Coturnix japonica: one gene and its partners. The protein of the gene in region 6 interacts with the protein of the main gene of each other region in a biochemical or structural test. Links are inferred from orthologs where the notes say so. Each region holds a gene or a part of one and is shown on either strand. Other genes may lie near its edges.

What was found.
Region 1: the proteins of EGFR (region 6) and RAB31 form a complex in vitro, tested with the Homo sapiens proteins (2 studies listed by BioGRID). The link is inferred for Coturnix japonica from reciprocal best matches to the Homo sapiens genes EGFR and RAB31.
Region 2: the proteins of EGFR (region 6) and tyrosine-protein kinase ZAP-70 form a complex in vitro, tested with the Homo sapiens proteins (2 studies listed by BioGRID and IntAct, with this or other methods). The link is inferred for Coturnix japonica from reciprocal best matches to the Homo sapiens genes EGFR and ZAP70.
Region 3: the proteins of EGFR (region 6) and TNS3 form a complex in vitro, tested with the Homo sapiens proteins (2 studies listed by BioGRID). The link is inferred for Coturnix japonica from reciprocal best matches to the Homo sapiens genes EGFR and TNS3.
Region 4: the proteins of EGFR (region 6) and SHC4 form a complex in vitro, tested with the Homo sapiens proteins (2 studies listed by BioGRID). The link is inferred for Coturnix japonica from reciprocal best matches to the Homo sapiens genes EGFR and SHC4.
Region 5: the proteins of EGFR (region 6) and JUP form a complex in vitro, tested with the Homo sapiens proteins (2 studies listed by BioGRID, with this or other methods). The link is inferred for Coturnix japonica from reciprocal best matches to the Homo sapiens genes EGFR and JUP.
Region 7: of the proteins of EGFR (region 6) and PTPRB, one has a biochemical effect on the other in vitro, tested with the Homo sapiens proteins (2 studies listed by BioGRID and IntAct). The link is inferred for Coturnix japonica from reciprocal best matches to the Homo sapiens genes EGFR and PTPRB.

What each region holds. Positions count from the first base shown.
Region 1 is NC_029517.1:88,716,625-88,721,070, reverse strand, and holds the start of RAB31 (ras-related protein Rab-31), read left to right. Parts: upstream 1-1,588; 5' UTR 1,589-1,754; coding exon 1,755-1,793; intron 1,794-4,446. UniProt on the Homo sapiens protein: The small GTPases Rab are key regulators of intracellular membrane trafficking, from the formation of transport vesicles to their fusion with membranes.
Region 2 is NC_029543.1:1,090,511-1,094,170, reverse strand, and holds part of tyrosine-protein kinase ZAP-70, read right to left. Parts: intron 2,971-3,660; coding exon 2,810-2,970; intron 2,673-2,809; coding exon 2,534-2,672; intron 1,374-2,533; coding exon 1,295-1,373; intron 1,027-1,294; coding exon 986-1,026; intron 237-985; coding exon 188-236; intron 1-187. UniProt on the Homo sapiens protein: Tyrosine kinase that plays an essential role in regulation of the adaptive immune response. Regulates motility, adhesion and cytokine expression of mature T-cells, as well as thymocyte development.
Region 3 is NC_029517.1:73,237,017-73,240,676, reverse strand, and holds part of TNS3 (tensin-3), read right to left. Parts: intron 3,119-3,660; coding exon 2,475-3,118; intron 1,863-2,474; coding exon 1,776-1,862; intron 1-1,775. UniProt on the Homo sapiens protein: May act as a protein phosphatase and/or a lipid phosphatase. Involved in the dissociation of the integrin-tensin-actin complex. EGF activates TNS4 and down-regulates TNS3 which results in capping the tail of ITGB1.
Region 4 is NC_029525.1:9,208,586-9,212,914, forward strand, and holds the start of SHC4 (SHC-transforming protein 4), read right to left. Parts: upstream 2,805-4,329; 5' UTR 2,397-2,804; intron 1,969-2,396; 5' UTR 1,927-1,968; coding exon 1,366-1,926; intron 1-1,365. UniProt on the Homo sapiens protein: Activates both Ras-dependent and Ras-independent migratory pathways in melanomas. Contributes to the early phases of agrin-induced tyrosine phosphorylation of CHRNB1.
Region 5 is NC_029542.1:4,305,444-4,309,790, forward strand, and holds the start of JUP (junction plakoglobin), read right to left. Parts: upstream 2,915-4,347; 5' UTR 2,817-2,914; intron 1-2,816. UniProt on the Homo sapiens protein: Common junctional plaque protein. The membrane-associated plaques are architectural elements in an important strategic position to influence the arrangement and function of both the cytoskeleton and the cells within the tissue.
Region 6 is NC_029517.1:73,822,696-73,826,961, forward strand, and holds the start of EGFR (epidermal growth factor receptor), read left to right. Parts: upstream 1-1,466; 5' UTR 1,467-1,787; coding exon 1,788-1,905; intron 1,906-4,266. UniProt on the Homo sapiens protein: Receptor tyrosine kinase binding ligands of the EGF family and activating several signaling cascades to convert extracellular cues into appropriate cellular responses.
Region 7 is NC_029516.1:32,509,370-32,513,029, forward strand, and holds part of PTPRB (receptor-type tyrosine-protein phosphatase beta), read right to left. Parts: intron 3,540-3,660; coding exon 3,390-3,539; intron 2,347-3,389; coding exon 2,103-2,346; intron 1,342-2,102; coding exon 1,235-1,341; intron 707-1,234; coding exon 607-706; intron 1-606. UniProt on the Homo sapiens protein: Plays an important role in blood vessel remodeling and angiogenesis. Not necessary for the initial formation of blood vessels, but is essential for their maintenance and remodeling. Can induce dephosphorylation of TEK/TIE2, CDH5/VE-cadherin and KDR/VEGFR-2.

The DNA of each region.
Region 1 (4,446 bases), about 15 Mb from region 6:
TATGACCTTTAAAGGTCCCTTCCAGCTCAAATGATTCTATAGTTCTATGATTATATTATTTCTGATGCTACTGGAAAACAATGTTACTTCCCAAAAGTTAAACACAGTTGGGTTGAAAGAAGTGAAGCAAACAATTGTTTCTAAACTTATAATTATTACTTGAAAAAGATGCTATAAAAAAAAAAAAGAAATAAAGAAAGAAAGAATGAAAGAAAGAAAAGAAAACCTTTGGGATGCAGAGGCTTGTTTTCATTTGCTTTTAACCAGCCATTTGAAAACATTGAAACATGACCAATACCTCAAAAATGTTTTCCTGACCACAACTCCTTGCATGCAGACAAACACAAGGATGATGCCAGTTCCTGGAAGAAGGAACGTCATTAGCTTTTTTTAAAACTTGAGCACATGTCTGTCTGTATTGTTTTTCTCTCTTCTGACCTCCCTGATTTTGAAGGATCCTCCTTCCTCCCTCTCTTCCTCTCTCCCTCCCCTTTTCTTTCTTTTTTTATTCAACCTCTTTCTCGCTTTCTTTCTCTCTCTTTCTCTCTCTCTCTTTCTTTCCCTGTTTCTTTCTGAAATTAGCCCAGCTAAAACAACATCTAACACATACACACACACACAAAGCCCTAAACTCCCGAATTCCAAGAATTACAAAATCTGTGTCAAAGGAAAGAGACAGATAACCATTAGGATACGTGGGACACAGAAATGGGTCTAAAAAATGATTTTTTTTGCAAAAGATAGCCCTGAATCATTACACTGTATGTAAATTTCAGTCCCTCGGCAGTAGACAAATCTGATTGAAAGTCATAGGGGCAGCATTTAACCCAGGCCTAGAATTGAAAGAAAGGGTGCAGCTGGATGGTATAGAGATTTGGAACTTCCTACCTCCTGTCCATGCATCCTACATTGCTGAAACACACCACTCACCCCCTCATGGAGTTCACATCCGCTGCCTAGTCTCAATAAGCATTCAGCAAGCATCAGTGTATGTCCATAGGTCCAACTGTTTCCTCATGGAGGAATTCAGTTTCACCTCTTTGCATTTCCATGTCAGATGACATCATCCCATACTGTTGGGAAAGTTCAGCCTCTACTGCTGTACCACCAACATCTGCTTGTGATGTCAAGTGCCAAAATAATAAAATAGGAGGCATTACTTTTGGAGCAGCCATTCTAGATAGAATGTTAGAAAGATTCAGGAAGGCTTGCTTGAAAACCTGCTCTGTTTTTCTTCTCTTTACTAAATGCTCCTAAAAAAATTAAGGTTCATTAAACATTGAGAATCAGTGTGATGATTCTCAATGTGATGATGCCCGGGGGAGGTGGTGGGGTCACCATCCTCCAAGGCGTTCAAGAACCGTGTGGATGCGGCACTGAGGGACATGGTCAGTGGGCACAGTGGGGGTGGGCTGATCTCAGAGGACTGATCTTGGCACCAGCTGCAAATTGTTATCCATCATTACTTTCCTGTGTGTGGGATGCAGCCCTGAAGCTGACTGAACCAAAACAGGGCTGGTTAGCACTAGGGCTGTGTAAAAGCAGAGTCGGCCTTTCCCTTCCTTTCCGTGCTCACGAACCCTCAGGCACATCCCGGTAGCGGCCCGCAGCTGAGTCGGCACAGCCCCGGGGCAGCGCCGAGGCGGGGCCGCATGTGACCGCGGCGGGGGCGGCTCGGTGCCGTGCCGCGGCGGGGCAGTGCGGAGCGGCGGCGTTGGGCGCTGGGCGATGCGGAGCGGACGGGCCCCGGGCAGATGATGGCGATACGCGAGCTGAAAGTGTGTCTGCTTGGAGTGAGTAGCGGCGGAGACGGGTCGTCTGCCGTGGGGCTTCCCTCTCCCTCGGCTGGTGGAGGGTGAAAAGGGATAGATTTGCCGCCTCCCTTCCAGCGGGCCCGTCCGGGGGCCGGCGGGCGGTGGGAGCCGAGACGGGCGGCTCGGCGGAGCGAATTCCTCCACTCAACAGCCTCTGGGGGGCGAGGGGGCTTTCCCTTTCTTTAGTTGATACTAATGTTTTTGTTAGTTTTGAACTTCTCTTGAAAAGAGGAAGCTGTTAGGGGGGGCGGGACTTGTCGCCCCCTCCCCACTGCTGGAGACCCCGGCGGGTCCCCGGATCCACCCTTGAGCCGAGCTCCGAGCCCCGTCACCGTGGGGCCGGGGCGGCTGGAGGCGGCGGCCCGACCCCACCGGGACGCTGGCGTGGTGCGAGCCCCTCAGCCCCCTGGTGCTCGGCGCATGCTGAGCTTACGGCTTGGAGTGGGTTTATTTGCAAGCGTCTTTCACTCGGCTGCTTACAGGAGTGTCTTTCTTGCAACTTTTGTCTCGTCTTTCACTTCTTTCTTTTTGTGTGTGTGTGTGCGTTTAACATTTGGAGCAGCAATGTGCTTAGCTGTGCAGTTTGACTCCGCCTGCCCCCGCTCTGCCCTGCACGGATGGAGTTGTGTTGTCCTAGCATGCTGGTGGGGTGACAAGCAGCCCCCTCCCCCTCCAACAGCGGCCAGTTGAGTGCTGTTGTTTGCTTTGGTGGTCGTGGGTTGATGGTTGACTTGCTGATCTAAGTGGTCTTTTCCAAACGGAATGATCCTGTGATCTCCAATATGTGGGATGTGAGTTAGGCAGCTTTCAGTGCCATATCTCCATAAACATTCAGAGAGCTACGTGAGGAAGAAAACTTAGAGTGAATTCTTTCATGCAAAACAACTGAGCTGAAGGTTTAGAAAACAAACTGCTGCCATCCCTCCTGCTTCCTGTGGCTTGTGTTGACCCTTAGTCTGGATGGCATGGGTACTTTACTCTGAGGCTGTGCCAGGGCATGGGGAGTTCAACCCAAAGTGTTTGGCAATGACCATGCCTCCTTTCTTGATGAGAATTCCCCCCTTCAGCTTTTAAAATGGCACGGAGACAAAATAAATGTGGTTTATACAAGCCTGTGGTAGAACATGTAGAACATCATTATTTTTTTTTATCCCCCAGTAGAAAATCCTGTAATTTTATAGAGATGAAGTGTCCTGTGAAATGACATTCCTCTTGCCCACTGCTTGTTGCTGTTTTGTAGGATTGACGTGTATTGGAGGTTTTGCAGGGCAACTGTTTACTTTTTTTAGAGCAAAAGAAAGCTATAATGCAGCTCTGTGTTCCTAGAGTAATTGCATACTCCTATAGATTCATTAAAGTGGCAGTTGAAACCCTCAGGAAGATGTAAGCATCTGTAGTTATATTTGTTTAGTAGATTATGATTAGAGGGGTGTTCCTTCCTGGGTTTTAATAGTGTATAATTCTAGAAAGCTATCTCTTCTAATCCCAAGCGTCTCATTTGCTGTGGAGGTTGATGCTCTAGTTTTCCAAAAGTAAGGAATCCTTCATATGTCAAATCCCTTCATGAGGTTCAGGCTCCCAAAAAGGGGATACTTCCTGTCTGTGTGAACAACTGCAGTCATCAGTCAGCTGATCTACTTCAAATTAGACAGTAACTTAAAATTTGTTTGTGCATTTACTGAGAGGATCCTTAACAGCTGCCTTCTCCATCAGTCCTAGGCCGTATTGTATCTGGTAGTGCCCTTGGTAATCAGTTGAGTCCAACATATCCAAGTCCTAAAATGAGGTTATATTCTCATTAGAAGTTAAGGACTAAGTTGCTTTATAAACCTGTCTTGCTCTCCATTTCTGAACAAAGCAGAGGAGGAGGGTCATTGATTCATTCTGCCCTGGTACCCTATGGTCTGCAGTCGTCAGCTGTGCAGAGAGCCTGGACTTCAGCTATTTCTGCCAGCTCAGCATTCCTGAGGGAGGGGGAGCTTGTAGCTGGCTTAATTTTGGCAAAGGCAGCATCTCCACATACCTCGAAGCCCATCTTGGCTATAGAAGGTGTGACTGAGAGGGTGAGGAGAACAGAGAAACTAGGGCTGTGCTCCATTCTGCTTACTCCTCCTGTCATGCTACAGGACCAACATTTGTCCTGGAGCCATAGCAGCAGAGATACAGAGTAAGTTGATGGCTCTTGGAGGAAGCTCTTCATTGCCTGGGTCACGCTGCAGCACAGAAGAGAAGTTGGCCTGTTGTTTTCAACAAAAATCTATCAAAACTTGGATTTTGGTGTCTGCATTTCACTCGTTCTTCCTCAGAAGTAGCTTGTGTTTTTTAAAACTCTGTGGGTGTGATAGGAGGAATTTAGAGCAGCCTGGGGTTGGACACAAGAAGGAGATAATCCTGAGGTTTACGTAAAGAAAATACTTGCAAGAGAATGATGGAGGGGAATTTTGGGGCAAATGAAGCTGTGTGTGAGTCATTTGGAAGGCTGGCTTTGTTGGTTGTGGAGCTTAGTTATTCCCATGGATCTGGGAAAGCAGTGCACTTTGGGGTGAGGTGGTTTCTGTCTGCTCCTGCGCTGGTAGGAACAGGATGCCATTCTAATGGCTTGGTGCCTCATGGCCTCAGGTGGAAGAGTAGG
Region 2 (3,660 bases), on a different chromosome or scaffold from region 6:
GATCCAGTATTCAAGCTGAATCAGTATTCAAACTGAAGATACCAAGAATTTAGTAGGCAGAGGATAGGGAATGGAACGTGACTTTGCTGGTGCCCTTGTAGAAAAGAGGCTTTGCAGCAGGGCTTTTTGACCAGAAAGCAATACAAATGGCAACTCCTTCAGCTTAAGGACATTAAGAGATGCTCACCTACAGGCTCCGGTGTGTATCCATCTGCATTGAGAGGCCCAAGGTTTTTCTGGAAAAGAAACATTGATAAAGTGGGTAAAGCAGCCAGGGGAAATGGGAGAGGTGAGGGACAGGGAACCTCTGTAGTCCAGCAGAGCTGGTTTCCACTGTAAGATGCAGTGCTGGGCACAAGGACTGACTTAGCATTGAGCTGGTCTGGTCCTGGCTGGCATGGACCCTGTGCAGCTCTGCAGCCTTAGAGTTGTTACTGCTATATGGTACAACTCGTCCAGCACAGCTCTGAGCTCCAGTAATGCTTGCAGTAGTCATTGCAGGAGCCCACCACAGATTGTGAAAACTTTTTGACAAGCTGGGTAAACGCTCAGCCCTTTATTTAGGCTCTGCTGGGCTCTCACACAGCCCAAACTTACTGGTTTCAGCACAGCTGGACACTGAGCACAGACGTTCCCTGGGGCTGGGGATGCAGAGGGAGCACAAAGATGTGGCCCATGGCCAGCAGCCAGCAGTAGGGCTGAGCATTCCCAGAACCCAACCAGCGAGGAGGGCAGGGGGGGGGGGTCCCCAAGGTCAGCCCCATGTGTTGCAAGGAGCACAGCGTGAATGGAAACCATTCTTGACACTGATGGTAGCTATGGCCAGCTATTCCTTGTCCCTATCCAAGCTGGAAAGGAGACAGCATTGCAGCTGGCCTTAATATATTCCAGTTGAGTTGTTGCCTTTTAAAGAAGAGCACAGTCTGATCCTTTCAAAATGCCACTAAACGAGGTACCAACAAAACAGACTCTCCCCACAACTTACGCTCACAGAGGGGTGGGTTGGTGGAGCTGGTGCTGCAGAGGCTGTGGATTGGAAGAGAGGAGTTGTTAGTGAAAGTCTGCTTACACCCCATGCAGGAACAGAGCATCAGTCCTTTGAGGATCCAATCCCTCCCACACAGAAGTCCCTTTCTACCGCTTTAACCAGAATGGATTTGGAAACATGCATGGATATGGGCACTGTTCCCAGCCCTTGGGAGACCTCAGGAGTCCCACAGACAGGACATGAAGTGATGCTTGTGATACCTGGGACAAGTGACCGAGGCCAAGGTTGGCACTGGCACCAGCTCACCTGGCATGCTGGGGTTGGGGCAGCTTTCCCTCAGGTAGAAAATCAACCCATCCGGTTTGAGCTTCAAATATTCCACCAGCTGATAAAGGAATCAGGGGAGAAAGAGATCAATGCAAACAGAAAACCATCTCTTCTTTCGCAGGCAACACGCATGGTTTATCATAATGATTTCTCTCAGCTTTTCTCAGGGATTCAGTTGTTTCTTTCCCCTCTTTCTATCTGTGCACTCAGGGAACTCCTACAGCATTTGTATCTGGGTGTGTGCCAGAGCTGGGAAGAGTTTGGGAAGTTAGATAAGCCCCAAAGAAAGACAAAGGGAAAACCTTTAGTAGCAGGGCAGGGTAGGCTCTGTGTAATGTAATTGTTGCCACAGCCGGAAGGGACTGTAAGTCTGATAAAGTCTGAAGGGAACCTTTGGCTTTTCCCAGAAGAACTGCAGAATTCACTTTCTGGATCCCAGGTACTTTTCCAGTGCAGCACCCTCTGCTTCCAACATAGTGGGGGTCTCACTTTAGCTGGAGACCACCACCTCAACCCTGGCAACCACAGCACAGGGGGCCAGACTTTCTCTTCTCCTCCTGCATGGCTCAGATTTCATTCCAAATAAGGAACCTGGCACAGTTCTGTTTCCATTAAAAAAAAAAAGAAAAAAAAAATGCCCCGAAGTCTTTGTTTTCTTTCAGTTTCAGAGTGAAAACAGCCCTGGGAATTTAAAAAATCCAGCAAAACAGTTACAGTCTGCAAACAGCCCTCCCCAGGAAGAAGTGGTGCATTCCTTTCCTGGAGCAGCCCCAGGAGTTGGACTCAATCATCTTTTAAGAGCCCCTTCCAACACAGGTTATTCTGTGATTCACTGGGCTGTGTTATTCCAGGATAAGGGTTGGTGGTACCTGGGCTTCAGGCACTTGTCACATCCCCTAAAACCCAGCTCCCTCCTCATGGGTGGGGTATCACAGCCATCTCCTGTCTGCAAACAGCCCCCGGGGGGTGACAGGATGCGTCTCCTGGCACTTGGATCTGCGGTCACGTCAAGGTTTTGGGAGTTGGCTCAAGACTTATGGGCCTCCCGAGTCTCTGTGTGCAAGATGTTAAAGACCTTCCAAGCTCTTGGTGTCTTTAAGGCTCCAGATGGCCTTTCCTTATCCCCAAGGCATAGGCAGATATAGCAAGGGAGCAAAGCAAAGGTCCTAGCCTTTTCTTTGCTAGGACAGCAGTGCTCATCATCCCCCAGCACGGTACCTGCCAGAGCGTGTCGAACTTGGTCCCCTCAGGGATGGAGTACTTGCCAGACTTGTCCTGGTCGATCCGATAGTGATAAACTGTTTTGCCATAGACAAGGGACAGAGCGTAAGTGCCGTTTTCCTTTTTATCTCTCAGCCTGGTGGGAAGAAGAACTATTAAAAGCAACTCGAGGTTTTTTTACTCATGTGAAACAAATAACCAGAGGGCACTGGAAAGAGGGGAAATGGTGGGTAGGATGGGTTTGACAGCATCTACCAGGGTTTGTGTACTCACAGGAATTTCCCATCAGGTTGTGCCCCAGAGTAAAGCCTCCGCTCAGCTTCATCCCGGGCAATGTTACCATGGTACCAGGGCATCCTCTCATGGGCTGTGGTGGCAATGAGTTTCTCCACCTGTGGGGCCTGGCTTATAATGGCCTGTTCAAGGGCATCTCCCTGGAAGAGAGAGAGAAGTGAGGCATGGCTTAGGGAAGTGGAGAAGTCACCATCCCTGGAGGTGTTCAGGAGTCATGGAGATGTGGCACTGAGGGACATGGGAATGGTGGGGTGGGTTGAGATTGGGCGCAGTCTTAGAGGTCTTTTCAACCTTAATAATCCTATAAGAGTGAAGCCACCATGTTCGTATGGAGGATCTGACATCAGCTTCATGGGTGCCTTCCAACTCTGCATTCCTGGGGGACAAGGACCCCTTCCTTTGCTGCCTGCTGTCCCTGTGCAGTACAGCTTACCAAGGGCAGTGCAGTCTGGAAATCAATATGTGCTGCTGTAAATGAGTTCTATCAGCTCCACACTTTTTGAGGAGCTGCAGGTTTTCATTTGCCAGTAGGTGGCAATGTCCTTTGTGTTATCTACCAGCAGATACAGTTCAGCTTCATGGAGAAATCTTATTGAAGCTCTCATTTTGACAAGCATCTCTAGTCTAAAACGGGTCACTTTTAGAGGTCTTTTGCAGAAAGACTTTGAAGAGCAAGGAAAACCTGAGCAAGAGTTCTGAGTCTGGTTCCATCATGATGTTATGGAGGCACAGATGAGGGTCTAACTACAAAGAGGGAGAAATAGAACCATGATGTGACAGAAGAGGAGGAAGACAGTGATAGAGGAGCTGAGGATGGGAGGTGGGGTAAG
Region 3 (3,660 bases), about 590 kb from region 6:
ATAGATACTTACCTTAAAAGAAACCTGAAATACAGATCCCAGTGATTTTTTAACTGTAAAGAATGTGCAAATCCTACCAGATCTTATGCAAACAGTATTTCCAGCAGAAAACACTGGTTAGTGGTAAACTCCTGATACACAGAGCAGACAACAAATCTCTACTGCCCACTAGGCTGCAACTGATAATCTGTTGATTTTCACACAACAGTGTAGATTTGTACCTCAGGTCAAGTGCCTACATGCAAGTAGTTGGAAACATTTGCATCTTTGAATGACAACTATAGTAGCTGGAACCTCTCAATAAAGACAGAGGTTGTCACATGCCTTTTCATTTGTTGCATGCTTTTTCATTTATCAAGAATACTGTGCAAAAACAGTTAACTATTGCTGCAGCAATGACCTAGGTTAGTATCTGATGTTCATGACCATAGCTGATACTGATACAAACTTCCTGGCAATGTAGAGACAGCTTCAAGCTGACAGTGCCGATGTAAGCTTCAACTAAAGGTTAGGCTTAAGTTCATGAAAGACTATCATCTTCCCTTGAGAGAAGTAAACCCAAATCAAATCAAATCAAATCAAATCCAAACACACAAAAACCACTTTTAATGCTTATAATTGGGAAATGTGCCAAAAGATGAAAGATTAAATATTGTTTTGTCCCCTTCTTTCTTTCCTATTTCAGTTACCATCAAAGTAAATGCAGCAGAATGATTGCACATTGGCTATCATTATACCTAACTTGCATGCTCACAAACAACCCAGACAAAGGAAAGGTGGCCCTCTTCTCAAGTCTTCCTACTATACATTGTTTCCTTTTATACAGAAAGGGCAAACTGATCCCTATTTACATGTTATCAACTTGCTAGAAGCACAGAGACGAACAGTTCCCTAATTCCCAGACTGAACAGGCAGCACTGCTTTCATTTTCTATGCAGCTTTAAGTCAGAGGCTACCAGTTCTCACTCACCATCAAATTTCTGTCCCTTCAAAGTTCTCTCACTCTTTTTCTTGTTTTGAAGAGAGAGAGGTGATGTAACTGGGTATTTGCTCTTTGACTGTCCAAGCACTGAAATACTTTGTGTTTACATTCTGTGATCTCTGCTAGAAATAAGATATGAAGTCCTCCTCAGGAGGAAAAACTTGTAGGAAAACTGCTCTGGTTTGTCATGCATCTGCTACAGACTCTAAAATCTAATAGCAAAATTCATAACCTCACTTAAAAAAAAAGACAAAAGGGTCATCTAATGAAGCACTGATTCAAACTCGATTGTCATAAAACTTTTGTTTGTAGAGGAATGTCCAAGCTGTAGCCTGCAGGCTGTATGTGGCCCAGCACAGCCCCACCTGTGGTGACTCCCTGCCCCATGTTATCATGACAGCAGCTCTTCCCCACTGAGCTGTTCAGCCCATCCCCTGACACGGACCTTAAAATGACTTCCATTGCTGTGAGGAAACAACAGAAACTATTTTTTCATTGAAGTACTTTTGCAGCAGCTACCAGAGGAAGTTCTAAGTTACTCTGTGGTTAGTTAAGTTAGGATAATTATTTATATGACTAACTCAACATTTTCTCAGGAATACTTGAATGCCCTTCACTCTCAAATTCAGCTTTCAGACTAAATAAATTGAAATTGTCTTCTGCCCTTATACATTCTGTAATTGTTCTTATAATTACCCTATACACCCAGTAGTCTGAAATAAAAAGTTAATAAGCATACACCAACTAGCTTACTAGTAAACATATACCCCAGAATATACCTCAGCTGATATACCTTGTTCTCTTGAGATAACTGGTTTATACCAAAACTTGGAAGTGTCCTGGACAAATTTTACAGTCACTTGTTTCTCTGTTGTGTTCTCTGTGAAATAAAAAGGGTAAAAAGAAGTCAACAAATTTTCTAAGTATGGAAGTATTTTTCCTTTTCTTCCTAGCTTCCAATCACATTAATTGTTCTAAAATCTAATGATTAGACAACAGAGAAAAAAATCTCAATTATTTTAGAACCAAAATGTATAATAACCTACATTAACATTCTAAAAGCTCTCTTAAAGTTTAATTTTACAAAACCTGTAAGATATTGAAAACTCTTAAGTTTATAAAGTTATAACAAAGTTATATTCTTAGTAAAAGCATATACACGTATCATTATTTTTAACTACTCTTGGCACAAGTCTAGCAAAGATGAAGAAATAAACCATCCATTATTAGGAGAGGTTGGACTAGATACTGCTTGTTTGTGATTTCACAGCTCCAAAGGTGGGCTGACAGATAAGGACAGAAGTAACAATTCTGCACCATAGTCTTCAGAACAGTGCATACAAAATAGTGAACCAGTGCCTCTTACTGTAAATCAAGCCCTCCATTTTCCTTCCACTGCTTTTTAGCTCCTTTTCATTTAAAATCCCTCCTTACTGAGAGATAAACTCATACAATTCTGATATGTTATGCATATCTCTGATGCAGAACCTACCTGGCACCAGAGAAGTGTTTAAAGTGTTTGAGAAATCTGGAAGAACACTTGGGAAGGGGATACTGATTGTGCTTCCACTGTGGGGGCTTGAGAAACCACTTGAAGAAGGTGAGATGGAGATGAAGGAACGGTCCCCTTCAGAGGACCTCTTTTTCTCTGGAAGAGGTGGTTGAGAATGTAGGTTCCCTCCAAGGCACGGATGGACTGCATTGTTCTGACTAATATGTCCAGAAGTCATTGCAAGAAAATTTTGGGCCAAAAAGCCTTCATCTTCTGCACTTTCTACAGGTGAGCTCATGGTTTTAGAAGAGATGCTAGTGTTGGCTATAAAAGTAGCTTCTTTCTCCTCTTGGGGGGAACTAATGCCCACATTGGCCCCATTGTAGCTTCGGTAAGGCTGAGCACTGTTACTGACAGCAGGTTCATGCTGTTGCTCTGCTGGTGATTTCTCCAGGTTGCTCAGGGTGACAGCTTGCAGCCCTGGGGTTTGGAAATGAGACAAAAGAGAACCATCTTGCACAGAGTTTGAAAATTCAGAAGGCACATGATAACTTCCTGTTGGCCTGTTGCTTCCTATTGAAAGCTGGAACAATTTGGAAGATTTAGGGCTGTTTTCAGTCCAAGAATGTTCTGCCGCAAGGGGGCTGTCAAAAAAAAAAAAAAAAAAAAAAAAAAAGAGAGACAAAAATTGAACACAAAAATAAAACAGGCAAATCATTTTCTATAAATGTCACTAGACAGTGTATCCTCTGGTCATTACTGAAAGCACTCACTCACTCAAGACAATAACTGACATGTTCGATAACATGCAGGACCTGGTCATAAAGTTCGAACCAGGGACTCCGGCCCCATCCTGAATACTCACTCCTGAATGCAGTTCATTACTTTCTGTCTCATCTCACCCTCAATCCAGCCATGGCGATGACAGAGTTTCTGAGTTTGCACTGTAAGTCAGGCCATCAAATTAATCATTGTTAAAAACACTCCTCTTTCCTCCTATTTGAGAGCATTATTTTTAGTGTGAATTAATTCAATTAGACTGTTCAAAACATTGCTTCACAGAGGTCCTGGAGATCTATGGTGATCTACAGTGCTGGCTGAAAAAAGAGCAGTCGGAGGCAAGAATTTCTTAAGCCATCTGTCATCAAAGACAGATTTATGGAATAAGACTGACACTGCTACAACA
Region 4 (4,329 bases), on a different chromosome or scaffold from region 6:
AACATCAACCTGGGGAGCAGCAGAAGGGGGCAGCCCCTTCACCACTTCTCTGGACCTTCCCGTAACGCTGGGCCTTGGTTTTGCTTCTCCTTTCTGGTCAGCGTGGCTCCCAGCAGGTAACACTTGGCTGCTTCTGCCCATGGGCCCATACAGGACCTGGGAAATTCCCCTATCAGGGGGCGTCCACATCCCTGCAGGGACCTCAGAGCCTTGGCTGTGACTTGCACCATACAACAGGCAGGTGCCACAGGCCACGCACCATGACACCACAACACCAGCACACCGCACACCAGCACTAGGAGCCCCTGCAGGCACTGTGCTGTCATGCTATGTACCACCTGCATCCCCATCACCCCGGTCAGCCACCACTGATGCCAAAGTAACAAGGGCCCACATCAGCACTGGGCCTTGCAGGAAGACAAGCAAAAGAGCACAGGCACGAGGGTAGCTCAGAGAAACCCACCTAGTACCAGCTCCCTCCTACTGCTGCCTTTTACAAGACAAATGCAGATGATTGCACTCTGACTTCCATGCCCATCCCACAGCTCCCACAGCCAAAGACCTCACCCACAGTAGCCAACCTGCTTGGGAAGGGTGGGCACAGCCACGGCCCCATTTTGTTCTTCTCCCCTCTGATGTGCACGGTCAGAGGTTCAGCACACGGACAAGGAAGCAATTGCCATTGGCTTTCCAACTGGCAAGGTCTGGGCACAAAAGTAAAACATCCAGAGAGGAAAAATGGAAAACAAGAAATCTCCTGAGCACGATTTGGGTGGAAAAAACAAAGCCCTGAGCCCAGGGACCCACCCAGCAGCACGGACCCCTCAGCCAGCACCAACAGTGACAACACAGTGTGAGAAACACCCAGAGAAGCTGTGGTTGGGTGTCTTCTGGAGGTACAGACAGTGCTCTCTGTGCCCAGAGCAGTGGGTGCAGCCCAGCAGCACAAGTGGAAGGCAGCCTCAGCACCCTGCACTATGCAGAAGGGGCTGCAAGGCCAGTGCTGGGCCCAGCACTGAGAGACGTCACAGTGTGAGCCAGCACCTGCCTGGCACCAGAGCTGCTAGGAGGAATGGGACCTTGCCATAGTCCTTCCACTCCAACACACATTTCAGAGTGACCTCATTTGCAGTGCAGCTCAGCTGTGCTCTTCCAAGAGCCTAAGGACAGACTCTGTGGCAATTGATGTTGTCTACCTCTGAGGATAGCTGTGCTCCTTTTAACTCCCTCGGGCCCCCAACACAGCCCTACATCCGTCATTAAACAGCAGATACACAGGGTAAGTCGGTGACCAGGGGCTGCAGAGGTGGCAGTACAGGCTGCAGCCCCCTGTGCCGGTACCCGCTCCCCACGCTCACTACTCACCCGCACACTGTAGGCTGTGCCCGACTCCTCCGCGCTCTCCCCGCCGGGCACGAGGCTCCCTCCCAGCCTGCCCACCACCTCCGCTGCTCCTCTCCCTGTGCAGCCACCCGTGGGCCTTGGAGTCAGGTGTGCTCCTTCTGGGCCGGGTTGAGGGTACGAGGCCGAAAGGCAGCCGAGCTCAGGTGAGGAGGGACCGCCAGGGACGGTGACGCACTCAGTCAGTTTGGTCCTCGGCACCTCCTTGCTCCCCAGGCAGAAGCTCTTCAGGCTGGGCAGAGCGGAGGGGTTGGCGAGTTTAATGTTGGCCATGCGCGGGATCAGCGCGCACAGCGTGGTGCAGGTGTCCTGCGGGCCCAGCGGGACGTCCTCGGCCAGCAGGCTGGGAGCTGAAGGGTGGGAGGAAGAGGAGGAACCTTTGATGTTTTGCGGCCCTTCGTCCAGAGACGTTACGGAGTCGTTCCTGAAGCGGCTGTACTTGGCCCTGTGCAGCATCCCCGGGTGTCGGAGCAGCCCCACGTACAGGACGTGTGCACCGAGGCTCTGCGGGCCGCGCTCTCTCATAGCCCTTGCAGTTCGGTAACCGGAGCCTCGGGCACAAATCGCCTTTGTGGATAAATCAGACGGAAAGCAGGCAAGTCAAACACCGTTAAAAACAGAAACCTGACAGAGATTTCTGCCGATTCCCTCCCGAGCAGCGTATTTTCCTCGGTGCGGGAGGCTTCCAGCCCACGGCCGGCCGGCGTCCCCCGTGCAGACCCACGGGCGGCAGCAGCCCACGCCCAGAAATGCCACCCGAGACCGTGTCCCCCCCCAGCCCTCGGGGCCGCGCACCGGCCGCTCACAGCCGGGATGTCAGCACCGCGCTCCTGGCCGCAGCGACAGACCGAGAGCGATCCGTGCAGAGCCCAGCACAGCAGAGCACACACAGCAGAGCAGAGCAGAGCACATACAGCAGAGCAGAGCACACACAGCAGAGCAGAGCACACACAGCAGTGCAGAGCCCAGCAGCCGAGCCCCGCGCTCAGCCGCACCTCCAGATCATCCCGATTCCCTCCAGGTGCGCGGCTCTCGGCGCCTTCATCCTCAGCTGCCCCCACGGGGAAGCAGCGGCAGCTCAGCCCCGCTCCGCACCGCTCGTGCCCGCACACGCGTTAAGCCGAGCCCTCCCGTCCCGCAGCAGCTCTCAGCCTCGGGGCTGCCAATTCTCGCTCCGGAATCCCTCAGCTCCGTTCCGCGGTCCGTGCGGTGCCCGGTACATTCGTACCACCCTCGTCGTGCGGGTCAGCACCGCCCGAGCCGCTCCCGCCACGCCGAGCCCGGGGCGCCGCCGCCGCCGCTTTTATGAATGAAGTTAGTTATTTTTTTTATGAATGAGGCTGTGCGCGTGCAGGCGGCCAGAGCCGTGAATGGCGCTCGGCGGGTGGCCGCGGCCCGGCGGCACCCGGGGTGATCCCGGCAGCCAATCACAGCCCGCCGCCGAAACACGCGCCATCAGCGCGCGAGTCAATGGGGGGAGCGCGGGGCGGGAGCGCGCGCCGGGATCCCGCGTCTCACGCGGCGCGTGGAACGGAGGCGTCGTTGTACCGAACGGAGGCGGTGCACGGCTCGGAGGGAGGCGTTGCGCTGCTCCCTGCGCTGTTCGCAGCCGCGGGGCTCGTGGCGGAGCGGCGCTGCACCTGCAGCTCTGACCTGATGGCCGAGAGCCTCCGGACGGGGCTGCCCCGAGGCCGGTGATGGGGTTGGAAGGCCGCCCCTTCTGGGCACGTTTGGAAGGAATAGAGAATGATACCAATAGCCCCGGAGCCGTATCCCGGGCGCTGCACCGCACAGCTCTCGGGGCTCCAGCTGCTGACTGCGGCGTGCGAGGGGTTTGCAGCGAGGGCCGTGCTTTTCCAGCAGTAGGACACACATACAAGCATGAGAACAGAACCAGCAAAGAGCGGCATTGTCCGAGGAACATTAGCCAGGGAGGGGGTGGAGGGCAAAAGAAAAATGCCTTTGTCTATTAAAAAGTCTTTTCTCGGGGCTACAAACAAGATTTCTGCTGAAGATGCTGGGAATCCAACCTCCAGCCGCCCCAAGAACAAAGCGCCTTTAAGCACCGGCACAACCGAGCCTGCAGAAAACGGGCCTCTGCTTTGTGTGAGGCCCACACGAAGCCGTGGGTGCTGCTCATGCTTGGTCTGGCTGCCCGCAGTACTGAGGGCCTCCAGGTGCCTGCTGCTTTCTGACCCCCTCCCACGGTGCTGCCCCGTGTGGGAGCTGCCCCGCACCCTCTCACGGGGCTTGAAGGCAGCAGCTCAGCGCTACTTCTGAGCTGGGCCTGCACAGTAGAGCTCTGTGCCTCCCTCGGAACATATGGAGCAAATGGAGGATTCCCCCCACCCCACATAAATAGCAGCAGCGGTGTTAATTCATGCAGACGTGCACCGAGCTCACACTGCACACATCCCCCTTGACACGCATGGCTGCAGGCAGAAAGGAGCCCAGCACTGCTTACAGCTGGGTGTGGGAAGCTGCAGGCAGCCCCTGCAGTGTGTGCTTCTCTGTGTCCCATAGTGCTCTAAAGGCAGCAGCCACAGCCTGGCTCCAGCCCTGCTGCAGGAGGGAAGCAAAGGCAAAGCTCAGCTGAGCCCAAAATAGCTGCAAGCTCCATCCCTGCAGAATTCCCCTCCCTACGAACAGGTTTCAGCAGCACAGAACTACAGCCAGCGCGAAAGGAAGTTGGAAATGATCGTGCTTTTATAGCATCAGGGGGCTCAGTATCTGTACTCCAGCACACAGGGAACATCAGCTCCTGTCACATGGATATGGCAGCTAAGGAGTGTTTTTCCACAGGGTAAGGCACTGGCACACATTTGAAAGGGCCAAACAGCCGCACCACTGGGCCACCCCACACTGCCCCTCTCAGAGCCCCCAGGCTGGGCACTGTGCTGCCATAGTGAATCTGAAGGGAAGTTTTAT
Region 5 (4,347 bases), on a different chromosome or scaffold from region 6:
GCTGGAGGAGCTCAGTGCCAGCACCTGCCCCCCCCCAGCAATGCCCCCAACAGACCCCTGCCCAATGCATGGCGATGATGCCACGAGGCCGATTGCAGCCTTAGCTGCAGTGCTGCACGACCCCCCCTGTGCATCTCCGCAGCACTGGGGGAATGGGTCAGGTCAGCAGGTGTGGGATATTCAGAGAGCACTGAGCATCCCATGGCAGCCCCAGCACAGCTCAGCGCCCCGAGCCACCAGGAGCTCCGCTCCAGCACAAGGCTCCTGCCCTTTGCATGGAGGGATTTTAGATCCGAGCAATTCAAGCATTATGAAATGCCTCCAGGCCTGTCAGCAGCTGCAGAAAAACCAATCGGGGATGGCAGATTTGGAGAGATATCTCAAGCCTGTCTAATTAGAAACATCTTGCCCCTCACTCCTCCTGTATTCCCCTCACCACCCTTACAAAGCACAGTGCACTGCACACAAGGGGGGAGCATAGACAGCTCTCACCCCATGGAGGCAGGAGGATGCACTGGCCCAGGAGGCTCCTGAGCCCAAAGCCAGCACAGAGTGAGCACACAGTAAGGACAAACCCCAGGATGCACTGAAGGACTGATGTAGCATGGAGGGGAGCGGGGGGAGGAGGGGGTGATGAAGCACACACAGCATTGCCCCCCCCACCACTGGACCCCAAAGCTTTGGGTGCACTGCACCACCCCTGCAGCATGTGGGCCTCGGGAGCACTGAGCAGAGCAGGCAGCAACACGCCAAGCGTGGCATCCAGGGCTGTGCTGGGCCGTCCTTGAGCTGGCAGCACAGGATGCAGCTTTGGAGCACTCTGCAGCTCAGCTCTGGCCAGCAGCACTGTAAGCACAGATGTGTTTTTAAGCTGCTTAGGTCAAGTTTTAAGACTTCTTTGGCAGCCTCTCCCATGCACAGACAGCGTGCCTGCTCCATCCCCAAACACCCAACCCTGTCCCTGGGAAACGGGGTAAACCCAACCCTGGTGGAGCTGGAAATGCTGCATCAGCTCAAGTGCTGCATCCTCCAGGGCTGACTGCGAGCCAGGCGCTGCCAGCAGGGCACAGCCCCGTGGGGGACACCCCAGGTCCCAGGAGACCAACTGGGACCCACAGCTGCCACCCAGACCCCATTTGCTGCCTATCCCAGGCACAGCCCTAAAGCACCGAGGTGGGAAAACACCACCTAAAACAAGAGTCAGAGCTGGCAACTGTGCCACAAGAAGTCCAAGGCAGACTTGCAGTGCTTCAATAGAAATGAAACTTCTTTTTAACTCCTGCTAATTAGAAGCCAGCCTAATTTCAAATTTCAGGAGCAGCATGAGCTGTGGTACAGACACCTCAATTAGAGCCCTGTGAGCTCCCCATGCAGACCCTGTACTGCAGCCCCACAGCGCAGCTCCTCCCTGCGGGCTGCCAACTGCACCCCCCAACCGGCTGGGGGTCTGATGGGGGAACAAGGAAGGATTCCCAGGAGGAGGAGGGCAGCACCCGACCTTCATGTACAGCTCAGAGGCGAAACGCTCCGTGGTCTCCAGGTGTGAACAAACCACGGGCAGTGGTGCCAACGGCACAGCCCACGGGGACCCACATGTGGACGGGGCACGAGGTGCTTCATGCCGGCATCCCCGCTGTCCCCAGGGGAGTGGCTGCAGCACCAGACAATGGAATGGGAGCCATTGTTTGTGGGGGCGGGGGGGGTTGGGGCGGCCTGCAGCCCCCCCCACGCTTCCGCCAGCGCTTCCCCACCGCCGGAGTCGGGCAGCTGCAGCTCAGCCCCCCCCAGCAGCTCCTCATCGCCCAGCGAGCGGCACCAGAACCGGGGATAAAACGACCCCCGGCCACCGCCACCCGGGCTTTGCGCAGGCGCGTCCTGTGCCCACCTGTTAAAGCCGAGTTCGCTGCCAAATGGGTTTTTCAAACCACTTTGTGGAAATCCTCCAAAGCGGTGAACAATTACGGCCTTCGGAGGTGGAAGGACCTTAATGGCTGCTCCGCTCCGCACACTGCCCCGCCGCACGCCCACAAGGACACGGGAGGGGATCCGCGCCCCCCACCGACGGACCAAACTGCGGGTGGGAAGGGGACGGAGCAGGGACAGAGAAGGGACGGAGCAGGGACAGCCCCGGAGCGGGGACAGGGGGGGCCCGGGGATACCAGCACCGGGGAGGGCACGGCAGGACGCGGGGACAGCGCTGAGGTCAGCACGGCTCCGTCCCGGCCCGGGCTGCGCCCCGGGAGCCGCCCACGCTCCCACCGCGTCCCCCCGCGCACAACCCACGCCTTCCTCCGCGGGCAACTCCCAGCAGCGGCCCCGCGTCGTGCTTTAATCTGCGCCGATTAATTAAACTAATCACCCAGCGAACGCAACGAGAACGTGACGACGATACGAGCCGGTCGCTCCCCGCTCAGTTCCGCTGCCCCGACGTTCGGTGTCAGCGCGGCGGGATGAACAGGAGCCGCTTCATTAACCCCCCCGTCCCCGTTCCCCTCCCGCAGCCCGTCCCGCTCCCCGGGGCTGCTCGGGGCAGGTGAGCGGCTCCGCCGGAACAACCACCCGGGGCAGCGCCCAGCGGCAGCACCGGAACCGCACGGGGCCGGTTGGGCCGAACCGAACCGAGCCCGGCGGTGAGCGCAGCCCCGGGGCTGCTCGGGACCGGTCGGACGGGATGAGCGCAGCCGGGCGCGGCGCTGCCCCGGGGGGGGGGGGCGGTAACAGCCCGACACCGCGCGGAGCCCGGAGCCCCTCGATGCCGGGACCCCCCAGCCCAGGCCCCCCCCCCTCGCCCCCCGCCCGCCCCCCCCGTCTCTCACCTCTCCCGGTTCCCGCAGCTCTGCCGCCCGCCCCGCTCCCGCACGAACAAAAGGCGAACGGCGCCCCGCCCCGCCTGGCCCCGCCCCTCACAGCGCTGCCCGCTTGCCATTGGTTCTTCTTCCCGTCCGTCTTCGCCGCTGCTGACCGGGCCCCGCCCCCTCCCCGTGTTTATCCGCTCGCCATTGGCGGGGAGGAGACCGCCCCCCGCGCGCCGGGAGCTGATTGGGCGGCGGGGCGGGGCGGGGGCGGGGCGAGGGCGGGTGGGGAAGGGCGTGAGCGCACCGAGGGCCCACCTGGGTGACGTCACGGGGCGGAGCCGGGAGGGTTCGAACGGGACCGAACCGGGTCGGGACAACGGGGGGAAAATGGAGGGGGGGAAAATGGAGGGGGGTAAATGGAGGGGGGGCGGGGGGCGGCACTGCGGGTCGGAGCGGGGGAGACACGCAGCTGGAGCAGGGCGGGGAGCGGCAGCGCCCATCCCACCCCATCCCATAATATCCCATAATATCCCATAATATCCCATCCCATCCCACCCCTCCCCATCCCATTCTATATCCTATTCTGTCCCCATCCCATTACATCCAATTGTATCCCATCCCATCCCATCCCATCCCATAATATCCCACCCCATCCCGTCCCATCCCGTCCCGTCCCGCCCCATCCCGTCCCTTCCCTCGCCCGCGGCTCACGCCGTGATTCAGCCTCTCGGTTTCAGTCACCGCAGCCAAGTCCCGGCGGAGCCTCGTGCTGCCAACAGCTCGACGGCCGCCAGGCACAAAGCAGCGCCGTGGCTGCACCAGCGGCCGCCCAGCACCCACCGCCCGGCCTGGGGGTCCCGACCCGACCGACCCCCCCCCAGATGGTCTTTCATGGCACTTGTGTCCGTCCCGATTTGCTCCGGGCAGAGGCGGCCGTCAAAAGAGCGGACCGAGTTTTATTCCAAGTTCAGCACCAGAACGTTTAAAATACAAAATAAACGAGCGAAAAATATAAAAGCGAGATGGGAAGTATTAAATTAATGGAGCTTAAAGCTCTGGGGGCTGCTGGGAGAGAGATGAAGGCACTTGTGGGGCAGAGGTGGTGACGGGGTACAGTGGCACAGGGATGCCGTGCACCAGGAGCAGCACCCAGCACCGAGACGGGGGGAAGGGGCGGCTCTGGGAGCTGCCGGTGGGGGTGGGCTGCTGCCAGAACCAGCACCGTGCACAGAACCCATAAGGCAGCACAGGGGTTTGCTGTTGGCCCCCTGGTCAGTGGCTCCTGGGGGAGCAATGAAGGGGCACAGCAAATCTCAGTGCTGCTATGGAGCGCTACTATGGGGCTCCCAGGGACATCGGGGCTGGGGGGGCTCAGGGGGCACCAGGCAGGTGGTGGCACAGTGGTGCGGCTGCTCCTCGGATGGGAATTATGGCAGCATGTCCCTGTAGATGGGGCAGTTCTGCTGGGAGCACTGGGCAGGATCAGCCCTTCCCAGTGAACCCGTGTTCCCGTGCATGGAGCAAGAGCCTGCAGCCTGGAGGCCCCAGAATG
Region 6 (4,266 bases):
ATTCTACAGTGCAAGTGTTTGTTCTGAAATGAGTTTGGACAGGACTTTGCCAAGTTTCTCCACTGAATTCTTGTGCAAAAGATGTTTCCATTTTCCTGTGCTTACCTCATTTTTTAACTGTCATGCCAAATCCTTACTTTCTTGTAGATTATCAAAATACTAATTCATCTCGATGTGCCTAGAGGTATCTGTTCTTATTTAGCATTTACCTGTAGAACTGATTTGAGGTTAATTTCCTTGGTGTCTTTATTGCTCTTCCTCTCTCATAATGCAAGCTGCAACCATTAGTGTACATTGAAATTACTTTGCAAATCTCCCCTCTCTAAAAGCTGATTTTTTCCTGGGCTTCTCATTTTTTAAAACCTTCATATTTGTCAAAATAAATGAAAATGTGTTATATGCACATAATGTTTTTGTGGTTGCACTGTGTAAACAGCATTGAAGCAAACTGAATTAAATGGATATTTTGTTGCAGGATCAGATTCTGCCTCTGTTAAAGGAACAGAAACAATCAGAGGAGCAGTGCTGTATGGATGTTACTTATTTCTGAGTTTACTTTGACGTATTTATTGTGTATTATTTACAGTGTATAAGGAAAAGAGCATACCAGTTACAGCATCCAAAGGCTCATCTTAAAAATAAACAATTAGAGGCACGATATGGTATGTGTTGGAGCATCTAACTTGTGCTAATGTAAGTAAATGGTGTTTCACTTTTCTTTGCCTAATTAGCACAGTAACTTGTTAAACTATCAGGGAAAAAAATGTGCAGAGGAATCTGATGGGTAGTATAAAATCAGTGAATCAATATAAATCAATATAAATAACTATCAAAGAATCTCTCAGAAGGCATGAATCACTGATGTAAGGCAGAATACACCCAGCAGCTGTTTTACTGTCTACGTAATGTATCTATGATATCCCCATGTGTTGCTATCAGCACATGGGGATAGGCATAGGCATTTAGTGTGTTACCTCCCAAGCCCCTTTCATTGTGAGATTCAGTTCTGGAGTTCCCAATAAATCATAGTAGTTCATATCCTATTGACTTTGTGGCCAAAATGACCACACGGGAATGGGGCTGTTCACGGGCTCTGTTGATGCCGAGGCAGCAGAAACGAGGGTTGTATATAATGGGACGGGATGGGTTTCTGCTGCAGAGCGTCCCACGGGAGGGACATGGATGGGGAGCTGAAGGCCACAGGGCTTTTCACAAGCGGCGACGCAAACGCCTGCTTATGCCTTCGGCAGCTACCGAGCAAACAAACAGCGGGAAGCGGACAACGGGATACCCTCAACACTCGCATAAACCTAGCGGGGGAATAGGCCAAGCTGTTCCCTCCCCCACAGCTGCTTCCTTCTGTCCTGGGACAGGTAGAGGCGGTTCCATTCCTACCTGGGCGGGGAAGGCGCCGCTGGTTCCTCCTCCCCCCGCTTCTTGCTCCCGCCCCATCCTCCTCCCCCTCGGCGTCCCCAGAGGGAGCCCCTGCGCTCCGTGGCCGGTCGGAGAGCGCAGCTGGGCAGAGTAGTCCCTTGGCCGGCCCCATCCGTTCCGCAGCCCCTGCGACAGAAGGAGAGGAGGGAGTAGGAAAGGAGAGGAGGAGGAAGAAGGCAGCAGTCCTTCTGCAGCTGGGTAGGAACGTGTGCGTGCAACCCTCGACGGCTGCCCTCCAGCATGTTGCTCGGAGGCAGAGTGGCAGCCAGGAGCTGAGCGGAGTAGAACGCAGAGCAGAGTAGCGCAAAGTGAGGAGCAGCTCGTCGGGGAGCTCCGTTTGCCCGTCGCGTTCGATGCACACCATGGGCGTTCTCAACCCCCTGTCCGCCGCCAAGCCCCGCGGGGCCGCTCTCCTGGTGCTGCTGCTGCTGGGGCGCGTCGCACTCTGTTCCGCCGTGGAGGAGAAGAAAGGTAACGGGTGGTACGGGTGCTGGGGCTACAGGGTGTGCCCCTTGGTACTGCGGGGAGAGTCGGAGGGAAAGTCTTGGCTTCGTCCCTTAGAAGAAAGGGGGGAAAAAGTAAAAAATAAAAAACTACTGAGAGAAAGATGGAAAAACAGACCTACAGAGCAGTCGCGCAGCTCATGACTTCCTGATTCTAAGCTTATTTTCTTTTGTGGGGGCGGAGGAAATAAAAGGGAATAAACCTTTGAGAGTCTCATCGCTTGTGCTTGTCCCCTCCCGAGGCTTTTATTTTCTGCTCTCTCCTCCACTCCGCCCCCGTGCTCTTTCCGCGGCGCCCCGAGCGCCCTCACTGCCCGGGTTCACCCCATGGTGGCCGCCGGCCCAGTACCGCTCTGCTACCGACACCGGGGAGGTGGCACCGAGCACGGCAGGGACACGCAGGGCAGCCTCAGCCGTCCCGCCGCCTCGGGCCGGGCACCTCAGCTCATTCCGCTTCAAAAAGATGAATGCATGCATATACGTGTGCACACACCTGAGAAGGGTGTGTCGGGGAGGACGGGAAACTTCATGCGGATTCTGGTTCTCCGGTCGTGCTCGCTCTCTCTCTCTTTCTCTCTGCCCGGCCCGATGCCTCCGCTGTCACCCTCGCTGAGAGCGCCCGGCAGCCGTGCGTGGGAACGGCGCGGGACGGCCCGCGAGGCTGTCTGGTTGGCTTCTGGAGCTTTGTTTTTTATACGTTTTTGAAAAACTGGTTTAAGGAGTGAGAGAACGTTTTTGTTGGGAGAGTTCCGTCGCTTTTTCTCCATGTGTGGTGATCATTTCTGTGAATAGGCCCCGAGTGCTGTTCCAGGCAGAGTACAGTTCTCTTTATCTTGGAGATCTGCCAGCAAGGGAAAAAATGCAGATCTGTTGTTGTGTTTTCTTTCTACAGAAAAAGAGGGAAAAAAGAATTAGTAGTGTTTTGAAGAGCTGGCTTGCAGCTGAAAACAGCTGAACCTATGTTTTTGTAACTGAGAACAGTAAAACTGTCCTGAAAGGGAGCAGCAGCTGCCTGTTCTGAGGAACTAGTTACACAACCTCAAAGCATTGAAGAGGCTCCCTTGTTCCAGAAATCAAGTTCATACCTGTTGCTGATGTAACGTAGGCAGCTCTTCTTTCCTGGGTTTCTGATCTTTTTCTTTTCTTGTCTCCCCTCATCCACTGAAAGTGACGGGGAGCAGAGCTGACTCCGTCTGCTGCATTTAAGTCCTTTGAAATGGAACACCCTGATGCACATGCCCAGCAGAATCTGTAAAATGTGAGGGTATATATGTTGTTGCCTTCTTTAAAGTGCTTAATCTGGTGTCTCATAAAATTATGAAGGTGCTGTTTATTTGAGGATTGTTAAATAAAAAACAGCTACATGATAAACCCAATGGGCATCATTGTCAGCATTGTGTTAGTGAGTAACCATTCCTGTGAGGAGGACCGGGGACAGAAGAGGGAAGGCAGAATAACTTCTTCAAGAAGCATGAATCAATTATTTGAGCTTTATCTGTTTTTCTCCGCATTTGAAGATGAGAGAGGAAATAAAGGTGGGTACAGAATAAAGTGGCATTTGGGAATCATAAAATAATGAGTGAAGACCCACTTCCTTGGGACCCCATGGCATCTGAATTTATAACAGTTCTGAAAGCAAATATGCTGCCATAAACATTGCAACACTCATGTTTTATGATAAAATTCTGTTGCTTCTAGAAGTACAAATAGTAAATGCATTTATGCTTCTTAATATTTTAGTTTGTATTATCCCCCCCAAATTACCTTGGCAAATCTTTTTTGTTACAAGAATGTCAGAATCAAACTATAATGGGCAATGTAATAGTTGAATGGAAATTAAAATTCACCTGTATATTTTACCAGAAGTTTAGAACAATCTTTTCAAATTTGGATGAGACGAAACTTTTTTATTTGAATGACTGCAGTCATGAAAATGAAAAACAAACCAAACAAACCCAGTAGCTGTGCTTAATGCAGCACCAAACAGCATTGTTAGAAATTGAACTGTCACAGGGATCAATACCTCCCTCTCTCTCAATCCACCATCTTTAATGTTGATCCAGATTAACAGCAGAGGAAGTAATCTGGATTTACACTGATAGTTGCTGGATGGCCTGTTAGGTGCCTTTGACAGCAGGCATGCCACTTCCTGCAGCATGCATTTGACTGATGTCCATTTTGTTTCTCATTGCTTAGTGACATTGCATTTAGTCAAACCATTTCTTGTTGCTTTTTTGGCTCTATATATCTAGTTTTGATCTGTAGTTGCAGCCATTGTGGAATGGAGTAAAGGACTGTGCACTCTAACCCACTGGGCAGTGTACTGGCT
Region 7 (3,660 bases), on a different chromosome or scaffold from region 6:
ATTATTTCACCTTACAGCATCCTATTTCCTACCAGTAACGTTGCATCTCTTTCAATCATGCAAAATGGTTTCAACAGATAAAGCATTTTTCAAAGTTGAGACAATATTTTGCTTTTTAAAAATGTATTCAAAATTTGCTATTTAAAATTCATCTCTGAAGTGAAATACACAACAATAATCAACAGGAAACTGAAAAGCTTGAACTGATATTATGGACACAGAAGTAGTGTCATGCTAAAATTCCATGACGTTTTTGAACTGAAATAACAAAGTCTAAACGAACAGTTCCAAGAACTTCCCATATAAAATGGTTAGAAATATTTCATTTTTTTTACACAAGATACTGAGTTTGCATATTAAGCCATTTTTTTCAGAAACATTCAGACTCCTACTGAAAACAAGAAGTTGCAGGGATCCTTTATGAGATGATTCTTGCTAACATCAGTGGATATTTCAATCTCCTATAAAGAATATATTCAGCTCTCAATATTTATTAAGTCATTCATTTTATAGTTAGTGTGTACAGATATTCTTTCACTGCATTTCTTATATCAAAATAGTTTAACCTGATCTCATAACAGAGGCTGATAAAAGGACTCTACTTACCTAACTTTCTGTCTGCAGACAAACAAAGCAGTAACAGCCACTACCATCACAATGAGAAACAAACCAGCACTCACACCTTCAATAACTCCAAAGAGAGGCTCTAGAAACAAAACAGTGTTTTTACACATTTTGAAGAAAAGACATGAAGAATCAAAAAATCACCAGTGCCCAGAGAATATGTTACTACTATTAGCTAGAGGAAATGGTTAAATTAAAGGAAATTCAAAGTGTCTGAACAACTAAACTAGGCCTTGGTTTTCTGTCCTAATTTTTTCTAAATGTTATGCAAAACTTTTCATTCCCAACCACAGCAAAAGAAAGCACAGCTCCATCATGTAGGAATTCAGCTTTCTGGTATGTCAAAGCTTTCTTGACAACAGCATCACTGAGCATTCACCTTTTTCTCTGCTGTCAGCAGCTCTACCAAGCAGACCTTTTAATTTTCAATTTCATGGCCTATCCATGGCAAATAAGGGCCATGGATAAGCCATGGCTTCCGCATTATTTCAAAGCAGACTTCAGGACACTGCATGACAAATCCTTGCAAGCAGTTCTGGATACCAGAGCGTTTTGAGTTGCAATGTATAATCACTTGCTACAATGACTGAAAAGCAAGCTTGAAACTAACCTGCCTCCGTAGTGATTGGTAAAGAGAAGAAGGTGTCTGCAAAGAGTGGTTGAGGAAGTTCCTTTGGGTCTTCACTGAAGAGCTGGGTAAAAGCCCGTATACTGATCCTAAAAAAAAAATACCCAGTTCAGTTTACAGTTACTAGTTAAGTTTATCAGATGTTCAGAGTCAACTGTGGAAAAATAAGAGATTCAGATAAGAAATGACCCGTCTCTTAGAGATGATTAAAGACTTTCCATTGACAACAGACTGCCTGGCATGTGCCTTCTGTACATGTCACTGTCTGGTAAGCATCATGCAGATCTTTTGGCAGAGTGTTTGCCTGAAAGAAGGGTGAGACTGAGATGCACTGGAGTTCACATTTGTTTTCATAGCCTGTCCAACTGCTTGGTCTTGGCAGTAGTGCTCTTCTATATCCTACAGCTCACCCAGTCTTAGCTCTGGAGCCTCTGGACTGTGCCATGGATTACAACAACCTGCGCAATTTTCTACTTTGTCCCAAAGGACTTGTGTGAGTACATAGTGACAAATAAATTCTATGCAGCGTTCTTGCCTTCTCTTGTTATGTAATCTTCTGACTTAGATGACTTAGTGTTTCTAAAGAGGGATTTACTAACTATAGGAAAGGTCTTGACCAAAAGGAGATAAACAAACACACTATATGTAACTATTGGTATCATTCCCATGCTAATGAAAATATCGTTTCTATCCATGGAATGGAGCATGGATAAAGCTTTTATAAATTATGCCATGAAACACAAGGAACATTATACGGCCCAGTTATTTATCTTCAGAAGCTCAAGTGTGTCAGACACTCAGCACTGTGCCTAATAATGTGACAGAGCACAATTACCAACATTAATCTCACCTATAAGCAGTCCGAGGCTTCAAGGGTCCATCGCAGAATTTTTGCTGATCTGGATCACACTTTCCTCCCAGATTTTCCATTTCTCCTCCAAGCTTAATGTCAAAGCTTTTATAGTCGCTGTCAGGGTTTTCAGCACATCTACTAGCAAAATAATTGGTCTGGTAGATGCGTATGGAGTCATTGTGTTTGTACTCCAGGTAAGAAGGTAATGGGTGTTGCTCGTCGGGTTTTGGTCCTTCACTGCCTACATCATGTGCAGAGAAAGACAGAAGGTTTACATATCACAGCCATTAACACAATGCAGTATTAGAAATTCAGGGTGTTGATGGACCAAATCCTTATTATCCAACTTCTGAGGCTTTCCTGGAGGGAAGGCAAGTTAAAAAATATCCCACAAATTGACAAGAGTGGTCTACTGTATGCAGAGAAAAAATACATAGGAAATGACAGAAGTCTGCTGAAAGAGAACTAGCAATAGCATGCATAAAACTTAAGTAGGCCAAAGACTGGCAATGAGTAGTCAGTCCCTTTCTATGAGAGCTCTATAAACTGCTCAAGCACAACCAAGTAGACAGTGGAAATATTTCCTCTTTTTTTCTTTTTTTTTTTTTTTAACCTGAGGGCTGATCACAGAATCATAGAACAGACAGAGATCTTAAGAAACTTTATCAAGAATCATAAAATACCAGCATACTGACACATGAAGCTGCTTCTAAAGCCTGTATTAACTGTCAAGACATCAATCTGCATTGCCACATATAGGTCAACTACAGAAAAGGAGGCTTACGTACATACTGCAAGGACAATTTCTGCTCTGTTCTGCATGTAAAGTCATATTCTTCAGTAAGCAAACTCTACCTGAATCATGTTACTTTTTCCTTCTCTGCATGGCTTACTGGGGTTTTCCAAAAGCTGTCTTAGTGTTCCCCCTTACAACTGAACTACTTTTTGAGATCTGTGCAGAGCAAGGCAGGCTATTCTATGTCCTCCATCAATGGCATCTGTCAACCAACGTAAGTCTTCTGCTGTGGAAACTTTCTGATCTTACATGAGAGCATCTCCTAGAGCACAGAACCTAACTAACTACCGCTTCTGGCTAGGATCTGCAGATGCTACTTACCTTCTGAGAGGAGGACTGAATGCTTAAAATTCCAGGCTAAGGAGCCATAAACTTTCAGTGAAAGTCAGCAACTATATAAGAAGTTACTTTGCTGTGTAGTGATAGGGGTGTACATCTGCATGTAAATCATACAGGCTATAGAGAGAACGGTATTAAATGATACTTACCATCAGCCTCTCTGACAACCACAGTAAAGTACTTCACAGCTCCATTAGTATCACTAAACCAGCTGCAGTTAAAAGTAAAGTTAATGGAGGATTTGGTAATCAGCACCTCTTTCTTGTTTACTCGTATGTCTGGAGGTGGCTGAGGGGGACCTGAGAAATGAAACAAAAAAAGTAAAGAAAAAACAAGGAAAAGAGTTATCTATGTATTTGCTGTGAGCTATACCTAGCAAAGGAAAGGCAATTCTTAATAAAGTTCAGATGACTGGACCCA